Linked DNA regions of Schizosaccharomyces pombe. The gene in region 1 interacts genetically with each later gene. Each region holds a gene or a part of one and is shown on either strand. Other genes may lie near its edges.

The links.
Region 2: mutations in pan5 (region 1) and sep1 together harm fitness more than expected from each alone (negative genetic interaction), as found in Schizosaccharomyces pombe (one large-scale study listed by BioGRID).
Region 3: mutations in pan5 (region 1) and msa1 together harm fitness less than expected from each alone (positive genetic interaction), as found in Schizosaccharomyces pombe (one large-scale study listed by BioGRID).
Region 4: mutations in pan5 (region 1) and ubp2 together harm fitness more than expected from each alone (negative genetic interaction), as found in Schizosaccharomyces pombe (one large-scale study listed by BioGRID).

Annotation. Positions count from the first base shown.
Region 1 is NC_003423.3:4,478,008-4,482,155, reverse strand, and holds pan5 (2-dehydropantoate 2-reductase), read left to right. Parts: upstream 1-1,991; 5' UTR 1,992-1,993; coding exon 1,994-3,046; 3' UTR 3,047-3,469; downstream 3,470-4,148.
Region 2 is NC_003423.3:3,132,720-3,138,245, reverse strand, and holds sep1 (DNA-binding forkhead transcription factor Sep1), read left to right. Parts: upstream 1-2,141; 5' UTR 2,142-2,759; coding exon 2,760-4,751; 3' UTR 4,752-5,026; downstream 5,027-5,526. Other genes in the region: dss4 (guanyl-nucleotide exchange factor), read right to left, coding at 338-640; DNA-directed RNA polymerase I complex large subunit Nuc1, read right to left, coding at 5,278-5,526. UniProt on the Schizosaccharomyces pombe protein: Required for promoter sequence element PCB-driven, M-phase-specific transcription. Acts as a transcriptional activator with a role in the regulation of mitosis. Regulates septation and the periodic transcription of cdc15.
Region 3 is NC_003424.3:2,317,900-2,324,768, reverse strand, and holds msa1 (RNA-binding protein Msa1), read left to right. Parts: upstream 1-1,943; 5' UTR 1,944-4,529; coding exon 4,530-6,131; 3' UTR 6,132-6,277; downstream 6,278-6,869. Other genes in the region: mix17 (CHCH domain-containing protein), read left to right, coding at 1-124. UniProt on the Schizosaccharomyces pombe protein: Negative regulator of sexual differentiation. Acts by repressing the transcription of meiosis-inducing, ste11-regulated genes.
Region 4 is NC_003424.3:3,485,349-3,491,735, forward strand, and holds ubp2 (ubiquitin hydrolase Ubp2), read left to right. Parts: upstream 1-1,845; 5' UTR 1,846-1,976; coding exon 1,977-5,336; intron 5,337-5,420; coding exon 5,421-5,486; 3' UTR 5,487-5,751; downstream 5,752-6,387. Other genes in the region: hrb1 (RNA-binding and mRNA export factor), read left to right, coding at 34-135, 234-626, 708-1,154; bsd1 (heavy metal ion homeostasis protein), read right to left, coding at 6,235-6,387.

The DNA.
Region 1 (4,148 bases):
AGTACTTCAAATATGTCAGCTACGCAGTCCAATACTTGTTTAACGATACATAGACTGCGGCAAGTTTCTCTTGCGAACTACAATATATGCGGTATCTTTAAATAACAATGTAATATTTATTGTTATAAAAAGTCTATTAGTATTATTGTACACCGATATTGCTAATGACTGAACTTAGGGACGAGGTTTAGTTGTAGCTCTATTTATAATCTTTCTAATGCTTACTATTAACGTGTATCTATGTAGATACACAGATAGTTTATCAGCGTTTATCAATAACGAATCTTAAGTAGTATCTTAACGTATGAATAGTTGTCAGCAATACTACACTACGTTGCGCATCACTATATGTCATATGTTGGAATACTAGCTAAGATCCGTTTATTGATAATCACGGGAAACTATCCGTCTATATAAATAAATACCCGTTGATAACAACTATTTAGAAATATTATAAATAGCGTTACAACTGAACCTCGTTCCTCAGTTCGGTTATGAGCTATATTAGTGATAGGTAACATTATAACCCAGTTAATACAATACCTATACTCAGTTGCTACTCATCAACCTGTGTATTGTAATATAATAGATCACAAGGAAAACTCTCCGCAGTTCTACGGATCCTTAATCAGATACCAAACTGCGTAGCTTACAATAGTGATACCATCGTAAAATATCATAGCGTAGTGTAATATTGCTGACAAAATACCACTATGCTAACAATGCTACATTACTTTCGGAAACCAACTATAGTCATCTGTTAGTATATCAGCTAAAATCCGTTCGTTGATAATTGCCTAACCAAATCCATTCGTTTACATAGGTGCCAGTTGGTAACAACTACTAGAAAGTTAGAAATCGGACTATAACTGAACCTCGTACTTAATTTAGTTATTGGCTATTGCAAACATGAGTTACAAAAAAATTCCTATAATTTTTTTTTAATTTATACATCCTGCTTATCGCTTGCTTACAAGATTACATACAAGTTTTAAGTCAACCCAGTGTAACCTAACGTTAAACTGATTACACTTGGTTGTAACGAACAGCATAACGTAGTCAATGTGTTGCGATAATAGACCTTAGTACGTAGATAATAGTTGTTTGCTGATAATTTGATTGTAAAATTATAACCATGCTGTAAAAATCTAATAGCAAACCTATAAATTATAGGTTACACTTACGCCATAGTGGATTGCTTGACTATGAATATACTTGCTTCAAAATGAGTGAATGATGAAAGTTACAAAATCTAACGATTCGCTTAGTCAGTCTTTCGATACAATGTTCCTTTGTCGAAGCTTGGGTGTTTTAACTGCTAATATTTCATAGAAAAATACAGTAATGACCGGAATATCTAATTCTTATAAAATCCTCTGAGTTTAAAGTTCATTGAGAAAATTCATTATTCAGTCATAGGATAATACAAAATTAAAACACCGTATAGTAGCAGGAGGGTTAACATCGCAAGTTTTTTGTTTTCAACCCTATCCATACTAATCTATTGCAGTGTCATTTTGCGAGTACATATATATATTTGAGAAATTTATCTTGAACCGCTGGATATTTGGTATGTTCTGTGAAGAAAACACGAAACTGTGAAGTATGGATTCCTGTCATATTTAGAGAGACAGAATTATTATTTACAATACATTTAAATACTTGAGTATATGGTTTGGTATCAATTTGATTTAAACTAAATTTCAAGGACCCTCAATTCTTCCTTTTACTTCAATGTATCGAAACATAATGCATTTAAAATTTGTTAACAGCTAGAAATATGCGAAATATCTTCTAAAAAAAAGGATGATGTAAATTCATGTTAGTAAAACATAAGAGGATGAACATTCCATGAATAAACTCGATAAGATGATATTATTATGCAGTCTTTAACGCTGCTTGCTACAGCACTAATTATTTTGATAAGGACAGTCACGATTCAGTGTCCTGCTAACGTTTGATATGAAGTTGATCGTTATTTCATTTACTTCAAATGAATAACACAATTTATATTTTGGGAGCAGGTAGTATCGGTAGTCTGTTAGCATATGAATTAGCTAGTTTAAAATCAATAAATAATCGGGTGATATTATTATTAAGAGACAAATCGAGAGTCAACTCATTCAAGGATAAAAATTCAACCTTGAAGATTGACCGCTTGTTTGAAGAAAATGTGCCTCATCTGTGTTGCCAAGTTACTGCATCAGAACCCTCCCAATTGAATGTGCAATCGATAGAAAATATGATCGTAACAACTAAAGCGGGGCAAACAGAAAACGCTTTATCAAAATATTTACCATATTTAAGTAAAAACTCGAACATACTGTTTGTACAAAACGGTATGGGGGCAGTCGAAAATGTTTGTGGCAAGTTGTGGCCGGAAGAACAAAATAAGCCTTCCATATATCAAGGAGTAATCTCACATGGGTGTTTTCAAACAGCCCCGTTCCATTTCAGTCACGCAGGTTTAGGGGATTTAAAAATATCCAAAGTCCCAAAGAATCCCAAGAAGATTTTACCTGATGAAGCAGCTGAAACGCCATGCGAAATGATAAAGTCATTAGGCAAATCAGAACTTCTACGATTACGTTATATGAATTACCCAGAGCTTTTAGTTAACCAGTGCGAAAAGCTTGTAATAAATGCCTGTATTAATCCAACAACTGCAACTTTGGATTGTGTTAATGGGGAGCTCTACAATGATGAATCTGCCAAGGAGCTTTTTCGTTGTATAATAAAAGAATGTGTGGACATATTTTTCAAGTGTATTCCTCTTTTTAAAAACAATGAGGAAGCTGAAAAAATTTTAAACGTGAATCGACTATTAGATCGTGTGATGTTTGTTGGAACAAAAGTAAATGGTGCCAACAGTTCATCTACCAGGCAAGATTGTCTTCTTCTAAGAGAGACAGAGATTGATGCTATAAATGGTTATGTTGTCAAGTTAGCTGAGAATAATGGATTTCAAGCGACTGTTAATAAAACAATGATGTTGCTTACTAAGTCTCGATTGGGTTTAAATAGATGTCGAGCGCATGCACGATAATTTATCATACTTATTAGGTGCAAGCTTTATGACTAGTATTCTGGTCGAACCTAATAATTCGTATAAATCTTCGGTCCATTGACATTATTTCGTTTGTACCAAGGTTGCAATGAATGCATACTGTTTATTAAACTAAAAGTTTTGATTTACAGATGGAATTTTATATTATCACAATCAATTGTTCAGTAGTCATTATCAAACCATATGGTTAAGATTAATTCAACACTATTTACGCTCTCTGAACCATTTAGTTTGTATCAGTTCAAAGAACTTTTGTATGTTTTCCAATATACGATTCAGTTTACAAACGGAGCAATTGTTATCATAGGGTTCATAAGCTATACTCTCAAGCATGGGTGGTAAGTTAGTAAGATGTCATATATACAATTAATTGCAATACACCAGCACATATTCGGAAATGAGGATACACCTTTTGTAGTGTGACTATACTTAATTGTACAAATTGCATAATTTAAGCTTTCATTTATTAGCAGTAACCAATCTACTTATTGTTCAATGGTAAACAGTCTGAGCTTTAAGAAACAGCATTTACGAACATTAGGAGCTGGAAAGATATGAATCTTTCAGATAGAAAATAAAACTACAACAAGTTATACGAAAATAAAATAAAATAAACTATAAAAGCTAAACGATTTTCTACATCAATCGCTACCACCTGAGTTATTGCGAAACCCAAGGAAGTAATATTCTAGCTGCTTAATTATATATTAGTCAATTATGCAATTTAGTAAGTAGTTATCGTTCTCTCAACAATCAAGTTATCATCTTCTTAAATTCATTAACTTTGCTGTAACGGGAAAATTACACTGCGTTTGAACCCATGAAAACCGACGTAAAACAACATAATAAAAATGCTTATATTTAAAAAAAAAAAAATACAATTGCCGAAGTGTTGTTAAAAAATGAATGGTAAATGACCTCGACACTAGTCCTCTGTAATAACACTGTAAGTAAAAAACCAATAAGCTTGTCATGGATTACTGTTTTAATATTAATTTTAAAGCCATTTTATATACATATGTCTTGTTCATAATCCAGCGGTATAAAATTTAAATTATGAAACATAGATTTTACTGTCATC
Region 2 (5,526 bases), 1.3 Mb from region 1:
AATCGTAAGGTATATTTTGTTTAGTCAAGGTTAATTTCATTTAATACCCGATAAGATTAAAATCTAATCACAACAAAGGTGTAAGCTACAAAAGAACTTTTTAATAAGAAACAAACATTATAATTCCATTTAAATATACCTAATTTCGTGGTTACTATTCAATATGAAACCACAACATACCTGTCTTTTGTAAGGCCATGTTGCAAGTCTTCTAAAAAAATATAAAGAATAAAAAGACACATGGAAAAGACCATTCCATATCAAATAAGTAACGTTTACAAAAATATGCTATAACCAAGATAAATAGCACAGTTGTTTGATAAACTTATTATTAAGCTTAGTTTTTCTCCAATGAGCACAGCAATAAATATTCATTGTTCTTAGAATCATAGTAGCCCAACGGACCTTTTTCACAATCAGCACAAGCAAGTAATTTATAATTATTTGCTAAGGGTTTTGATACGCTAACGTTGTCGAAAGCAAACGGATCTTTTAGAAGAAAAAAATCGTCAGTTTCTAGATCTTCTTGTGTTTCAGAATGCAGCATAGCTGACATTGTTGGCCTCTTAACAACATCTGGACGTTTGTTATTAAATACGACTGAAGGGCAATGTTGACAAACAATTCGCAAATTCGACATAATTTAGGAAAACAATATGGTGGTAGTTAGTTAGTAGTAAGCGCCAATCAGCGTTTTTTGTGGATATAACCTATTAAAAAAATAAAAATACAAGAGAAAACTTTTAAAAGTTTAAATGCTAATTACAAGTTCTTCAAATTTAATTCAATACATGTAGCATTCATTTCCAAAATAGGTACTGACGTGTCTAGTGCAATGAAGATATGGAAAACAATGTTTTGCATTTTGACGATAGAAGCAAATCAATAATTAGACGCTGAAAACTTCTTTTTTTTTGACATGCTATTTGGTTTCATAAATTAACATGGCCTGGTTTTCACTATATTTAAACTTCACCACATAATTAGTAAGTTATTATAAAAGAAAACGCAAAAAATTTTTATTTGCTCGTCTAATGTGTTCTTGAATATTGTCTTTCTCTTAATGTTAAACGAGACATATCAGTTCGCCTGATGCATTGGTTCATATAGTAGTTATTTTCAAATTTAGAAATTCGGACACATAATTCTTCTATCCTTCTATGTTAAATACAGAACCTTTTTCTTTCTACTCAATTTGCTTTCCGTGTTGCAACCTTGACACATACTAAAACTTTGTACACAGTGGTTTTTGAACTTTCTTCTAGTAACTAAAATTTTAGAAGTACGGCATTGAAAGAAATATTGTAATCAAACTTTGAATGTGTGCAGACTGCAAAATTGGGAAATTAGCTTGGCACTTGCAATTTTCAATGTAAATGTGTAGGAATCGTGTGCCATCCCTTCAATTGTCTAATATTTTAATTGAAATCTATAGAACTACGCTATTTTTGCTCGAATTATTGCTACTATGATTACTTTGTCTAAATCCTTAATAAAAAGAAGTATTCTTGATTAGCTCCGTGAACTTCTCGATTCAGTTATGTGACAAAGAATATTATTAGCTTCCAAATATTGAAATATTATTATTTTATTAACTAAATGAGTTTCTAAGCCAAGTCAATTTATCAATCATCGTTATTGTTATTGTTGAAATAATACAAAAAATATAACGCATGCTATTGATTCTTAACCAAATGTATTAATCACCTAAAATTTGTCAACCACTAACTGATATGATTAGACTAAGCTCAACTTCAACTTATACTCTCTTTATAGCAATATTTAAGTTGCATGAACATCCGACGTTATTAAATATTTTAGTATGAAGATAATATTATAGCTATTCACTAAAAAAATATTTCATAACTGAAACTAGTGCCTCATTTCATTTAAATTTCTAATTATAGGACCTCAAAAAATAAAACAACGTTTTACTGTATGGTTAATACTATGGAACCAGAAATGTGTCAAATTAAGGGCATACTTAATGAAGGAGGATAATTGGCAGCTTAACGTATCATAACGTATACCCTTATTACTGTTAGTAAAATACTCACAACCCAACATCGTAATCGATTTTTCGGCTCTATGACATATTGTCACTAAAATAGAGGATCCGCTTTCACGAGGTGGAGATTTCTATCTCATCTCGTACACTCATATTTTGGCAAACGTCCAAAATTGGAGCAATTCGGAGCATTTGATACGAAAGGATATTTGACACGATTGTGTATCACTATTACAAATCTTAATATTTTTATGCAATATTAGTATCTCGTTGTGCATTTCTCTCGTTTCTGACAGCATCCAGTATTGAGTTTGTATCTTTTGCTTCCTATACTGTAATACCTATTTCTATAATTATTTCTGTCTTAGACTTAAGACTTTATTTTTGGTTGTAAAGGATTGTGAATTTAGAGCACCACACTTTCTTTCTTTCTTTTTTTTGTGCTTCGGAATCGTGCCTTGTCGTAACACTAGTGCGAGAATCCAAGGTCGGACAATTTTTTTTTTGTCCTTTGAGTACTATTATTATTAATTCTTTTCAAATCTTTGAATTTTGCAAAATACTTCATTCTTTTTGGTCCGCATACTGACAATCTATGTTTGTGTAAGTCCGGAGTATAGTAGTATTCACTATTACTATTATTTTCCCTTAATTGGTTTTCTCTTTTAATCATTATTATTATTGGCATTGCCATTATCTAACGGTGCTTTAATTTTTGTTTTATTATTCAATTTGTCTGAACATCTTCCTCATGAATTTTAATTCTACTAACCCTTATTATTTTACTCATGAAAAAAACCTTAACAATGCTTCTAAGTACTCTGAACTCCCAATTGCTTATCAGGAAATTCCTTTGCAATCTTTACCACCTTATCCCAAGGTTGCTTCAAAGTTGAAGGGCGTAGTTGCAGGCGGAAAAGAAAATAACATTGCATCTTTTCAAAAACCTTCTTCAAAAGCCACTCGACCATATATACCTTCTTATACTAGATTGACTTATTCTGTTCCTCCTCTTCCCATACCTCCTCCTTCGGAGCAATCTTTGGATACTATTATATATCGAAACCCTTCTGTATCTTCTTCTCAGTCTCAAGAACCGGAGGAGTTTTTCTTACCCCTAGATGATGGAAAGAAACCTCCTTATTCCTATGCTATGTTAATTGGAATGTCAATAATCCGTTCTCCCGATCGTCGTCTCACTTTAAGTGCTATATATGATTGGATCAGCAATACTTTTTCTTTCTATAATAAGTCCAATAACGGTTGGCAAAATTCCATCCGCCATAATTTAAGTCTAAATAAGGCATTCATGAAAATTGAACGTCCTAGAAATTTACCGGGGAAGGGTCATTTTTGGAGCATTCGTCCTGGTCATGAAGAACAATTTCTAAAACTAAAGCTGCGTAAACCAGGAGTAAATTCAAGACCAGCGCCTCCTGTTCAAGACGTTACCTCCTCTACAAAATATGGATCTTCTACCGGTTCCTCTGGATTTAACACGTTTAATACTTCTCCCCATATATTTAATCAGCGACATCAATATCTTCAGAATTATTATACTGCATCCTTAACGAACATTCCGACGATCTCTAATGTTAATGCCACAAATTTTCATCCTCTTCATAGTCAACAACCCTATGTAGATACCCCTGGTATCGATGCACCTTCTGATTTGGAAGCTAAGTTTTCCGATTTGGGTGTTTCCTCTGTCGTATCTGTAACTTCTCCTTTACAATCATGTACAAATTCTCCATCTCCTCCTTTGTCATCACCAGCATCCAGTGCTTCTCCATCTGAATCACTTAGGAATGAATCTTTGGGAATAAAGTCAGCTAAATCATTGGGTTTGAATAAAGATGATGCACCAGTAGAAGGTCCACCTGTATCACATTTGGAGAAGGATGTTGAAACCCCTTCAGTTCATGATTCCGTGTTGGGTTTTAATGACACTGTAACGAATCTCGGCAAGAAAGGTTTAAAAGATGGTACAACTAATACCCTACAGATCCCTGCAGTCCGTTTACCTTCTTTACCTAGCTCGCCTACCATAAAAAATCCCAGTGGACTTTTGCTAAAGCGATCAAATTCTATTGATTTTCCAACCCCCCCGAAGGCCTTGTGTCCTAAATTGTTTTGCTTTCGTGATGACATCGTGGCTGATGACTACACTAAGTTTTCTTTACTTTCACCCATCCGTTCTGATATGAGTGGTATCTCAGCAAGTCCGAATACAAATTTGAAGGAGCATCGAACTCGTATCTTGCAAATGCTGGCTACACCTGATGCAAAGCAATTATCATCTTTAACATCATCTGATGCAGAGTTTTGGTCAGTCACGCCTTTGAAGTCTTCAATTCTACGTAATGGAGATGCATCTAAACAAGTAACGCTATCTGAAAGTCCTAAAGGTGATAGCTTACTTGATGGAGGATCATTATCTTATTTTACCAATAACATTAGTTCCGTTGCCGGCTTAGAAACACCAAGCAAGCTACCCATGAGCAAGTCGTTTGATACCTTTGAAGATGATTTTTTGGATCCCATGGATATGTTGAGTTTTGAAAATCACTTTTCCGACTTTAATAGCAATCGAAAAGTGTCTCCTGTTAAACGTGAGGTGCGTAGAAAATATATTTCTTCAGCAACTACTATTCATTCTTCAGCCGCGCAAGATGATACTTACTTGCCTTCTCCTACCAAGAGGAAAATGCCACTTCTTCGTCAAACTTCAACACTATTCTAAATTTGTTTTAGCACTTATCTACTTTTTATCCATGCTTTATTTAATGTGATATTTCTTCGTTCTAGTTAAAGACTGCTATGGGAATTCCTAATTTTACACATATCTTTTACCTTGGTTGCTTAATAAACTTTCAAACCCCCGATGTTACTTGTTCATTTGCGTGCGCAATTTTTTTAAATTTACGAAAGCTTTTAATTTATATCCGGCGAATTGTTCTCCCAGTTGCATATCTAATAGTCACATTAGCAATATAAAGCTTTATGAATATTTCGTAAACATAGTATACGCTTATAGCGTTTAGAAGTTTATCTCTTGTGTTATGTAAGAGTTGTAGATTAAACGTAATTTTATTTGTGGTAACCTATCTAAAACTTATATGACAAGTATTAGTTCCAAAACCCAATTTATTTATTTTATATATTTTTGTAACAAGTAGCCAATAAAGGTTTAATTTCCAAAATCTTTTATTTTGTCAAAACACACATTTTTCTAAAATTATTCCCCAACCGCAATAAATATACCTTTTTTAGTTTGCAGGAGAATCGACTACAGGGGTGAATATGTCAAAAGAACCGGTGCCAAAGTTACCGACTCGACCAACGACTAACCGAGATGAAGGATTGGATAAGTCATCAACATCACCACGGAGGGCGGCCTCAGTCAAAAAGTGACAAGTGGTCTCAAAAGACATTTTCGCAAATGGAGAAGTGTTATATTCTATTCCCATTCTATTGAAGGCTTTGTATCCTCCCTCGAAAGTCATATAATCTGCAAT
Region 3 (6,869 bases), on another chromosome or scaffold:
GAATGCTTGCAAGGGCGATGCTAAAATGTTTGCAGATTGTATAAATGAGCATGAGTTCAGTCAATGTTCTTACTATTTGGAACAGCTAAAGGCTTGTCAGGCCATGTGGTCCAACCAACAATAAGAGGCAATGAACTAATTTATTTATTTTTCTATTAAATAAAAGTTATGCCCAGTTTGTTTGCATCAGCATCAGCATCGAAATTTTTTTTTTCATGTTTCTACTAACGAGAACGTTGAACCCTAATAGCATTTGTTAAGCAGTAAATAATAACTGGTTTCCCTGGTATAAGACATAGTATAAGAACGAGAAGAAATAAATCATATATGGTATTTTTTTTGTTTGGTTTAGTAATGAAGTTCTTTTTTTTTAAAATGGCCCAGTAATAAAAAAGTTCACGAAGAACGTAGTTAGAAAGCTTGATAAATAAATTAAATGAAATCTATGCTCTTTAGAAAGTTCTATGATCTGGCTTGGAGAAGAGTAGTACATAACAGTATGGTAATGTAGTTAGAGCTTCTCTTAACATGCGTACGTTTTCATACCTCTTAATAGTAGGGATGGTTCAGTTCATACAGCTACCTAGTTCACCCCATCAATCAATCAATCAATCGATACAGTCACTCTTCAAAGCATTTTGAGAGTTCTCCCACAGATTTTATGCTAGCTGGAGTTCCGACTTGTTTATTAAAGTAGGAAGGTTGGAAGCGAACCATATCTAACAAACTTTTTTCAAAACGAAAATTAAAAGCAAATTAAACTTTCATTGTCTTACGTCCCATGTTAGGGGGGGGAAGCAGCTAAACAATGATGATTTATAGATGGTTGCCTCGGCTATTATTTACTTTGTTTCATATCTGAAAGAAGAGTAAGGGATAGGATACGCCAAAGATCCACCATAAAACGGTTTATCAACAAAAGGATCATCATCGAATTTGGTTTATGAGTCTTTCAAATGTACTCGTGTTTGTTAGTTTAACATACTATTGCATCCACTAGAGATAGTTAAGAGAAGCTGATTTACAAATGATCGGTTTCGACATGTCTGCCAAGTTATACTTTTAACGTATTACCAAGAAAAAAAAATTTACGGGACGGGGATTCCATTCTTGCTGCTTTGGTTTATACTGTAAGCATAACAGCAATCTTAAATTGAATCGTCTTTGCCAAGCGCATTTGTAAGAGTATTGTATGCTATGCCACGCAGTGCATTTTCATATCCAACGCTACATACAATTTGTTGTTACTCTTTCTGTAGACCATTTCGGAACGTTGATTGAAGATCGGAAAATTTAATGTTTCGTCCAGAAATTGTCTGCATATGTAGTATCACAGAGAGTGTCAAGTCATATCTGACAGCATCAGGTTAATGAGCTTAATTTGGGCCAAAGGCGAGCTAGAAAAGAAGAAGAAAAAAAGAAAAAGTAAACAGTAAAGAAAAACATATAACGACTCTTATTCATCCTTCCTCAGCATTCCCTTTTTCATATTTTTATCCCATTCTAATCCTAGTCTAAGAAATGCTGGCGATATAGACCGAGTCTACTGGTGTCTGGAAAGGAACATAGCTATATCTATATATAGATATAGATATAGATATGTATGTATGCTTGTATTTCGTTGGCAGTTTTCTAGTTTAACTAGCAAAATACAAGAATTAAAATTAGTATTAGTATTATTATTATTATTTTTAAACATTTAAACATCGACTAATTTTTTCAACATCTGTTTTCACTTTCAAGTATCGACTACTTTCTACATTCCAACGATCCATTCTTTATTATAGATTCACCCTTTTCCTCGATAAATAAGCACCATTACACATACTTAAAATTTTTGTTTCAAAGGGAAGCTAAACTGTACGACGATGTTTATCGTTATACTCAGCTGTCACTTATCCAGAACTCACTCCATCAGAGTGCGTGCATTTAGCTTGCTCCCTGCACATCCCACTACAAAGTGTTAGAGATAGGCAATCGGAGTTAGAATACCGAGACTTTATTCCAAGGTAAAAACACATCTAGAAATGGGGACAAACAAAGAAACAAAAGGTCATGTGAATGTTAGATTCAAGGGGTAGAGTTCGATATCTCAGCAAGCGATTCCTTTTTTTTTTTTTTTTTTTTTTTTTGAGAAAACCTCGGTACACGCTAAGCTGGCTTTTCCTATTGTTACTCCTTTTACTACTAGTATTATACTATTGCTTTGCTTTGTTGAATAAACAGTCTATAGAACGCTCAAGAAAATACGACGAAAATAGTTTATTCATAGCTTGACAAACTAACTACCTTTGTTTTGTTTTGTTTTTTTCTTTTCTTTTTTTTTTCGTTTCTTAGCTTGGCTATAGCTTGCGTATTCTGTCTTTGTCAGTCATTAATCCAGACAGTAATATAACATATTCACCTTGTTCTTTTAAAGGTCTCCCTTTTTTTCTTTGTTGCTCATCTAGATTGTGCTTAATTTTTTTTTTGTATACTAATCAAAATTCAATTTATTTTTCTTTAGTTATTTATTTGTTTTTTTTTTCGCTTTATTGGATCCTATTGTAAAAAATCATCTTTTTCATTGTGCTTGCAATTTACCTTTCTTTGACGATTACGCCTTTGTTCACGACTTTTAGCATTCTTCCTTTTTCTATCTCCATGGGGCCGTTGTTAACTTACTCCTAAAATTTGTAGTTGCTTATCTTCACAACCAAAGGATGCTTCGGTGCAGCACCCAATTTTTAGCCCATTACCCTGTGCCCAATTCTCAATGTCTCATCATTTGTCAATACTAGCTTGTTCCTTATACTCCCTGTAACCCACTATCTAAGACATTGTGGAGAGGGAAATGTTGGCAGTAGTGATATACTTCCGAATGGACAATTGCCTATCAATCGTGGTAAAGGAGAATGGCTAGAATTTAGTAAAATGATATGGCCCAAATAGAACGGTAAAATTACTAAAAGATTGAGGATTTGAGGCAGCGTCTTGGTCGTTTGACTAATTATTAGAGTGTAAGCAGGATTCGGATGTATTGCTCCTTTAGTTAATCATATCGTCTGGTTTTGCTCCCTAATGTCCCTTGTCCTCTTTTATGCCGCCTACATTACCGATGAAGAACACGTGTTGAAATCCCCGAGTTTGCAAGTAGTCTTGATATACAATGTCTTTTCCTCGTATATTCCGAGCAGATCTAAACCTTCGTCGTGAATAACCCCCTTCTTTGCTTTCACCTAAATCAATTGCTATTCGAGGGTTTTCGATTCTCTCCTTTCTCCATTAACATACTAAATTCAATTTCTCTTTGTGTGGGTTGCTTCCTTTTTGCTGAGACGTCTCCCCGTCTTCCATCCTGTCTTTATCAGTTTTGTTGCATTTCTGATCACCCATTTTTTCTTTTTTTCCTTTTCTTTTGTTATCTATCGAATACCTCCACATTGCTTGAAATACTAGTGAGACTGCGTTTACCTTCTCTTCTCATCTGATTCTGTCTGTGCCATTGAGCTTTCCTTCGCTCTCCTCTTGCACCTTTTGTTGCGTTTACTGGCTTCTTTATTTTTATTTGTTTTCTTTTTCACCTCAAACTTTCTCTGTGTTCAGCTTTTCGAGATATTCAACTGCAATTGTACTGCTCTTTGATTCTTTCACCTTTTTCAATTCGAACTTGCTACTCCCTCAAGCTTATCCAATTATTTTTTAGCTTCCACTTGAGAAGAGTTCTCTCTATCCATCACCCAAAAACTGAAATTTCATCTTTGTGAAATTTCTTTCACGGTCTGATCACCGTGCAAGCTATTTCTATTCCCCATTTTACTTTTCTCATCATCTGACTCTTATTCTGGAAATACTCGTTTCCCCCACTCAAATATATATTTATTCTTTGGGCTTTCCTTAGACTATTGTTAGACTGCAAAGTCTCGTTTGGTTTACCTACTGTCTATCTCTGGTTTTGGTTTTTCATTTTCCATTTCTGTTTCAGCTGGTTTCTCAAAATCTTCATCCTTTCTTTCTTTCTTTCTTTTGACTCGTCATTTTTAAGAGCCATTCCATTTCTTTCTTATTTATACGTGTATAATCTCTATTTTATCTTTGCATTTTTGCACTAAATTACCATACGCTTGCGTTTTTTTCTTTCCCTATTTCTGCAATTTTATTACCTGAGTAAAAGTTTTCCCATTCGTTTTTTCCTATCCCTTCTTTGATCAATTTTATTTATCTTTTCTTTTGACCAAATTTTTTCTCTGGGGTTTTTTTTAAACTTTGTTTTGAAGGAAATTTTAAATTAATTAACTTTTAACTTTTTCAGTTGAAATACTTTTCATTCTTTTTTCTACGCAGCTTTTGGATTGCTGTTGACACATCATCTCATAACTATCTATTGTATTCCATATAATCGACTGATACGACCTCCATCCCACTTTGGCGCAGGCATCTCGTATAAAGTTTTGTCTTTTTAATTTGATATCAATCCGGCATCCTTGTTTCATGCCCCTTTATAGATCCTTTCTCATTCCAAACTTTTTTTTTAAACACATTATTTAAAAATGGTTGTTTCCTCTCCGTCTGTATCTTTATTGCATTCTCCTGTCGAAAAATTATCAGCCCAACTCGAAAAAACAACGCTTTTACAAGACATTCCCCCAGGTTCTTTATCCGAAAATGATAATTCCACTACCTTTATAAAGCCTCCTTTGGAAACTGCATCATCAAGCACCCCTATCCCAAGTTCCTCTTCCAGTGGAGTATTAAATCCGTCGTCTGTCCGTGGAAAACCAGTTGCCTGTTTATTTGTTGCTAGCTTAAACTCTTCAAGGTCTGAGGAAGAGCTGACTGCCACTGTTAAAGATTACTTTCAACAGTGGGGTCCTTTGTTGCATGTCAAAGTTTTGAAAGATTGGTTGCAAAGGCCTTATTCTTTTGTTCAATTTCAAAATACTGATGATGCATCGAAAGCACTTTCTGAAGCCCAAAACACGATATTGGATGGCCGTCATATACGTATAGAGCGCGCCAAAGTTAATAGGACAATCCGTATATCCTCTGCACCCCATCAACCTTACATTACAAAAAAAGACATAGATAACTTATTGGAACCTTATGGCGAGGTTGAAGATGTCACGGAAATACCAGATCAATCCGCTTTCTTAGTACGGTTTGTTTACAGGGATGAAGCAATCGCAGCCTATACCGCGCTTAAGCATTCTGCCTGGCCTGTACTTTGGGCGGAAAATGTGACATATCAAAACGGTCACTATAAGAAGAAAGGTTCCTCCCCGTTTTCTCCACCTAACGCACATAGTCGAAGGCGAAAGTCGCAAGGCAAAGATCAGTCGAACACTCCTGTTATCAAAGCACCTGCCCCTATTCCATTCTCAGTTTCTTCCGATCCTCCTTCTACCATGGGAAGATCAAATTCCGCGGTTCAAAGTCCCTCATACTTTGCTCACTCATTGGTCAATTCTACTGAATTCAGTACTCCTAATGAATCTTTAAGCTCCTTACCGAGTATATTACCTTCAATACCCTCTTTAGAAAGCGGCAAGGCCGAACTCCCAACAGATGGTTCTTTTGAACAGCCTGGATATCCCATGAACCCCTCTATGATGTTTGCTGCAATGCCTCCACCGATTGATCCTTATTCTATATTCGTTGGCCAACTCGACCCAGTAAATTGCACACACTACTTACTAGTTGATCTATTTTCCAAATATGGAAAGGTAATCGATTGTAAAATAATTCATCAAAGCAAGAAGCCTGCTTTTGCTTTTCTAAGGTTTGATTCTCAACAAGCCGCTTATGCTGCCGTCTGCGGTAAGACGAGGTCCCCACACCAGAAAAAGCCTTTGCGTGTTGAATTTCGTCAACTAAGACCAATGCAGCAATTTTCCCCTCAATATCAATATCCCTCCTATCCATATCCGATGTTTCCAGCGCCATTTTCACCACCTCGTAATGCAATGATGCCAATCCCTGCACCCATGGATCAGTTTTCAACATTTCACCAGTCAATGGCTACCCTTCCTCCTGGTGCCGTTCCCACATCAATTCCTCAGTCGTACTATCCCATTTATTCTCCAGAAATGGCTATGCCTCAATCGTACAGTCCGATGTATTATACGCATAACCCACCTATGGATGGGAATTAGATTTATTTTGAATTTCCCTTCATTATCTGATTGAGGTTTCACTTCTTTATACAGTCCTTAAGTGTCGGAGTTTTTTTTATTAGGTACATATTCTATAAAACACTAATAATTATCTAATTTATTTTACTTAAAAGATGCAAATTGGCTGCAATTATATTTAAAAGATTTAGAGTCATAAATGTTATTATGTTCATATATATGTCTTCTATATAATTTTACGAATTAGTGTAACTCGTAACAGTTCTCTACTTTACGCATTAACGATATAATGATATTAGATAGAAGTTTATTTATATATGCTCCCAAATATAGATGTTCTCACACATGTATCGTATACACTCTAACCATTTGATTATTTTCACTACATAAATTTTTACAAAAATACTATATAAAGTCAATTCATTTTATGAAATTTTTAATTTGAGGCTGTAATATTACGTGAACTTTTTATTTTGGCTTACTGGCGAACTGAAAAAAGAAAATTAGTTTTTTTTTTAACAGACCTCTATTTCATAGCTTTAGACTTTCTCAAAACACTAGTTTCATATAAATATTCCTTATAGACACTAAATACAAAAAAAGGTTCGTGAGGTAAAGAACCAGAAAAAGAAAAAAATTATAAAGACAGGACAAGCATAAGTTTACAAGGGACTATTATATACGGGGTATACGTTTCCTTGCTATACTGATTCTTTATACATCTCCCAATTTCGTTTGCTATATATTCTTGTTTCTTTT
Region 4 (6,387 bases), on another chromosome or scaffold:
TTTTTTTTATGTCGCTTATTAACCTTCGTAAAGGATCGAGAACAAAATGCAAGATTTGGCTCCTCTTCAGTATCGCCTAGCGCGTCGTCGAATGGCAAAGATTCTGAGCCAGACAGGCAATTGTTTGTTGGTAACGTAAGTTCAATTTCTAATCCTCTATATTCTTTTCCTCGAACTTTGGTATTTTAATGAATTGTGGAATTGCAAATAAGAAATGGTACTAACGAGTATAGTTACCGTATAACGTTCGCTGGCAAGATTTAAAGGATTTGTTTAGACAAGCTGGTTCTGTTATCCGAGCTGATATCCAAATGAACCAAGAAGGCCGATCCCGTGGCATTGGGATTGTTGTCATGAGTTCGATGAAAGAAGCCATGCATGCCATTCAAATGTTGCATAACACTGATTTCATGGGCCGCACTTTAGAAGTTCGCCTAGATCGGTTTGCACATCATAAAAGTAAGCCGTATTCCACTCATGGAAATGGCTATACGTTTCCAGCGGAAATGCAAATGACTACATCATCCACCTATCTACCCATGTTAGGTGCTAATACTCAAGTCGAGGATTTAGTTTATCATGCGTATCCCCATGGACCCTGCTCGGATTGCATTTACGTTGGAAATGTATGTATATAAGGACGCTTTTGTGGGATTAGTTTTCCGCATCATTTTAAGTTTTTTTTGGAGATTACTGACTGAATATAGTTACCTTGGGCCACCTCAGATCGCAATTTATTGGACCTATTCACAGATATTGGCTCAGTCATTCGTGCCCGAATCGCCTATGAGCCCACTGGCCGATCTAAAGGTTTCGGTGTCGTTCAATTTGAGAATGAAAATGATGCAGCATCCTCAATTGAAAAATTAAATGGTTATCGTTATGGCGGGAGACCCTTGCAATTATCATACGCTCACTATGCGACTCCACTACCTGCTGTCCCTACTGTGCTCTCGGGTCTTCCTTCAGTCGCTTATACACCACCTGTTATGCATATCCCTACAACGAATTCACCACTAACGCCCCAATCTTTTACAAATTCTTTCTTAGGCTATCTACCGATTTCAATGCCCGTTGCAAACATGCCCGCTATTGCTCCTATTTCTGTAGCTTTACCCGAAAATAATATTGAACATTCTTTGGAGCCTTCTTAAAAATTCGCCAATACATCTGAACTTCTTTTCTCTTTACAATTAAGCACATTTCCGTAGTGTGAATGGCTAGCTCAGTGACGACATGCGCAATGTTCTAAGGCAGTTATCCTAATATTGTTTGCTTTTCTCTATTTTTTCTTCAAATTTTTGCTTTAATTCCTAATCCCCAAATATTCTTATTTTCCATGTTTATAGATTTATCTCTTTTGTTTGATTTCAATTTTTTGCTAAGATCTTATTCTTTTCCGTGACACACCAAAGTATGCTGATGGCATATATATTCGTCTCTCGTTCTTCTAATTGAAGTCTTTTTAATTTTAGCTTTACTGTTTTTTTACAGGATGCCTAGTTTCCTTCTTTTACAATTGCTAACCATTTCATGGTTTTAATGATATTTTAGATTTTTAGACTTCCATTCTGTTAACTTCCAGTTAACCAAGTTTAATCTTTATTGATTAACTACATTATTTTTAAAGTAAGGTGTATTTAGGTTAAAAATCTTATTTAAGCATAATGGTAAATTTCGTATAGCGAAATGTAGGTGTTGATTGTTTCTTACCTTCTTTAGTAGCCTTATCAATGAAATACAAACATTTACTTCTATCTTATTCCCCACATTCATAAAATTGATGGTCGCATACCTGGCTGGCATATGTAAGACGACAAGCATCATACGCATGAAGTCTACCTACCGAGTCCTTTACTCATGAAAAATCCTTCAATCTGTACGTTCTTTCCGTTTGGACGTTTTTTCAAGTATTTTTCATAATAAAAAATTTAAATTTCTTTATTAAAATTATTTACATCAAACTATAAAGAGGAATGGCAACTGTAAAGAACTTGCGAATTGGCAAAAGTCCTAATCGGTTGATTCAAGATTTAGACGTCTTTGATAGTCCATCAGCTGGATGGAATGATCCTTGGAGTCCTCATAGCTCAAGATATCACTGGCAGCTTCATTCAAATTTAGGCGAGTCCGCTGTATTTGACGAGAATGACTTTTGGTGTGTTTGTCAAAAAACTCGCAAACACTTACATGTGAAAGTCCGAAGAGACAGGGGGAAGCCATTAATTGAAGAGCCTGAAGAAAATTATGGAATAAAAGATAGGATTCCTGTTTACTACGAAGAAGAGGAATTACCTGAACCTCATGTGACTAGCCCTACGAAAAGTGAATTCGCTACTACCTCTACTTGTATGAAATGGAGTAGCAAAACAACAAAAAGTGAAATTGAAGTTGAATGGAGAGATAGCTATCTTGATGCTAATTGTATCAAAGAGATAATTGATTCCCGACGTCCATCATTTGCTTCCCTTTTAACTAAAAAATCGTCATCTCATCAAGGGTCATCCCATTCATCCCAACCTTCTCTTTTTACTACATTTACTTCTTTGGAGTTGTTTTTACGAAACGTGTTGGTCCATAACGATCAACGTGCCATTAGCGCTGCCCCGGAAGGAACTTTTGAGAGACATGTCGGAAAGGGCCGCCAAATTCAATCTTTGATGAAATCTCTTCTGTTTGAATATCACCACGAAAATGTAAATTATGTCCCTACCATTGCGGACGCTCCCCTTACTGACGAACAAAAACTTAATCTATACCTTGCTAGGAATGAACTTATTGTTTTGGCTAATCACTTTCGTGACACTAAAGAAGATCCGGCTATTGTTGCTAACCCTTTTCCCGTTAGGTTGGCTCGACCTGCTTTAATTAATGCCTTTGGCGTTCCTAACTATGATAGCGTGGTTCCCATGTATACCACAGTTTTTCGCGACAATTCGGCCTCCTTACCTGATGATCCTGCTTTTATAGCCTTGGGTATCACGAATGATTATCCAGACAGCTTTGTCCGTTATTTCTATGAGGAACAAAAAAAGAACGATGAAGCTAATGTTCGTGTTTATGCGGATGCGCTTGCTCATATATACAATTTACGTAAAAGCAGCTTTTTGAGAGATCTAATTGCGGCAGATAGGAAAAATGGAATCGTGTCGAGCGATGTAATACAAGCCGCTTATTCGAGTTTAGGACTTGAAGCTGAGGTAGGCCCGGATTACAGGTATAGTCAAGAAAAAATCTTTGAGGCGTTTCATTCTGCCCTCCTAAGAAAACCTGAATTTGCCAGAGCTATTAGGAACGATTTGGAGACTATTGGCTATGCAAGAAAGAGTTCTGAAATTTTAAATTATGTTTTGTCTACAGAACAGGCTTTTTATACGGTTAATGAAGCCTACCAATGGTTGGGCATTAAGTCTAACACCGAGGACGCCATGGTAGCTTCTGTGGCCTTAGTGAAATTTGAAGATGATAGCGACAAAGCCATCGAGGCCGTCAAATGGATAGCTGAAGAGAGAAATAGCTCCATTTTGTACGATTTCTTGGCTTCACAAGGTAGACCTTCCAACAAGAAGCCTAAAGAAGTGCCTATGGATGAAGATCTAGCTTACAACACATTAGGTGTTCAAGATCGTGCACTATCAGATGACGTTTTAATCAATGTATACGGCTTTGCTGTTGAAGACCACCCAGAGCAATCAGACACTTTGAGAGCAGCTTTGAAATGTATAGGAGAAGTTAGGAATTCGCGTTTAATCACTCATTATTTAGAACATGGAAATCTAGATATTCCACCAGAAGTTTCAAGTTTGGATACTCCGATCGGTTTGGAAAATACTGGTAATCTTTGTTATTTGAATTCCCTGATCCAATACTACTTTATTATAAAACCTCTTCGTAATGCAATTTTGGATATTGATGAAAACAAAGATCTTAATATGATTGAAAACAAGGAAGCTGTCAAGAAAGTTGGTGGACGGATTGTTACTCGAATTGAATTCTTGAGGGCTTTACAATTCACTTATGAACTCCGAAAATTATTTATTGAACTCATTACTTCAAAGTCATCGTCTGTTCATCCTTCTTCAGTACTGACATATCTTGCTTTAATACCTCTTACGTTGGACCAGGTCAAATCTGGAACATCCTCGGTTATGGATTTGTCATCGTCTCGAGAGTTGAGCAATTTGAATGAGAGATCTATCACTATTGACCCCAGAGCAGAAGAGCAAGCTCAAGGGCTTGAACAAGAACAAGGACAGGATGAGGCCAAAAGTCCAGCGGAACAATCTTCATCAGTTAATTTAATTGATTTTCCCATGGCCAATACTAACGGAGAGTCTCAAACACAACCTCATTACTTTGAAGTATCTGAAGAAGAAATAAACTCCTCCATGGATTTAGGTCGTCAACAAGATGTCTTGGAATGTATTGATCACGTTTTGTTTCAACTGGAAGCTTCACTTGGTCGTATTTCCAACTCAGAAGATCGTCTTGGCTCTGATAATGATCTTATACGACGTTTGTTTTCTGGCAAACTAAAACAAACACTAAATGATGCTAGTCAAGGAGTACGGTCTAACTATGAGATTTTTTCTCACTTGATCGTTGACCTTTTCGAGGAGAAACAAACATTGTATGATGCATTGGATGGTGTTTTTGAAACAGTCAATATTGATATGGGAAGCGAAACTGCCCAACGATCCTTGTGTATTACTGAGCTACCGATAATTTTGCAATTACAAATACAGCGTGTCCAATTTGACAGGACTACTGGACAGCCTTTCAAGTCTAATGCATTTGTTGAATTTGGAAAAGAACTTTCCATGGACAGATATGTTGAAGATACTGATGGGAAAATGGCACCTTTACTACAAAGGTACTGGGATCTAAAGCGTGAAATTATCAACCTTCAAAAACGACAACAGCTATTGTTAACTACAAATTCGAATCTAATGTCATCTGTTGATACATTGTCTATTCTATCTAAATGGGCTGCACAGCAGCAGGATTCGAGACTTCCTATTAATCCAAAACTTCCTGATATCCTTCAAGAGGAAATAAACAATGTTGTCGCTGAAGTGGATATGCTTAAAAAACAGGAAGCCAGCTTAAAAGAAGAAAGGACGCATCTTTTCGATAATTACATCAGCCATAGCTACGACTTGCTTGCTGTATTTGTGCATCGTGGACAGGCTTCATTCGGTCATTATTGGACTTACATTCATGATTTCGAAAACAATGTGTATCGAAAATATAATGATGAATATGTTACTGTGGTAGATGAAAGCGAAATTTTTGCTGATACTACGGGCAACAATGCTAACCCTTACATGCTTACGGTAAGTCGTTATTATTTCCCATTTGAGGGAAATAATCATTTTCTCAAATTTTTTCCAGTTTACATATAGCTAACATTTATCTAGTACATTAGGAAAGAGTATCGACACATAATTGAATGTGTTCACCGTGAACACAATCTTCTGCTTTAAAAACTATGTGAAGGGTAAAAACTAGGATGGATCATCCGTGATCAATTGCTATGAATGGAGGTTGGAAGTTGTAACGTTTTTCACGATATTAAAGCATGGAAGCTATGAATTCATATTTCAAAAATCTATTTATACATAAAAATTTAGTTATACTTTATACATCGGTACGGGTTAATAATCTATTAGTCTTTACTATAAAGAGAAAATTTTTCTATGACAAAATTGCAAAAAGTCTAGCAAAAAAATTGAAATGTAAACAAACGGCTTTTATTATTAAAATGGCGATTATCGCAAATTTTATTATAAGTAGTAATCTTTGACAAAAAATGTAATTAATAGATGAAACTAGTAGAAGTTTCCAATAAATAAGTCAATAAATCACTATAGAAGTACCATGGAAAAAACATAAAAGTAGCTGTAGAATCAATAGCAGGTTTTAAGGTAATTTGAACGAGCTTTGTACAAAAATACATCAACAGTGCCGTGAATGTGCCAAGTTATTCATCAAAGAGAGCGAAAAGTAAAATGATGCGTCGTAAAAAAAATCAGGTAGGGCAAGATTAACTAATAAACTAGGTATTTAAAACAAGGATCATCCGCCCATAAACCGAAATAGAAAAAGAGAACATGTTTAAAGAAAAAATGAAAACTATAAGGGAAATAAAATCTTAACACATAAACGAAAAAGTAAGGAGCCGATTATTTTGTAAAGTATACGGCCGCAACTAAAAGAACCTATAGATCGTGACTAAACCACTTCTTCCGGAGACGTTTCACCAGGTGAGTCTGTCCGACTAATGGCATTCTTCATACGGCGTATTCTGATGAACCCAAAGGTGTCTACTAGTACCAAGCACCACCCGATTATAATGAGAATAGAGCCTATAAGCTTCTGATGTGG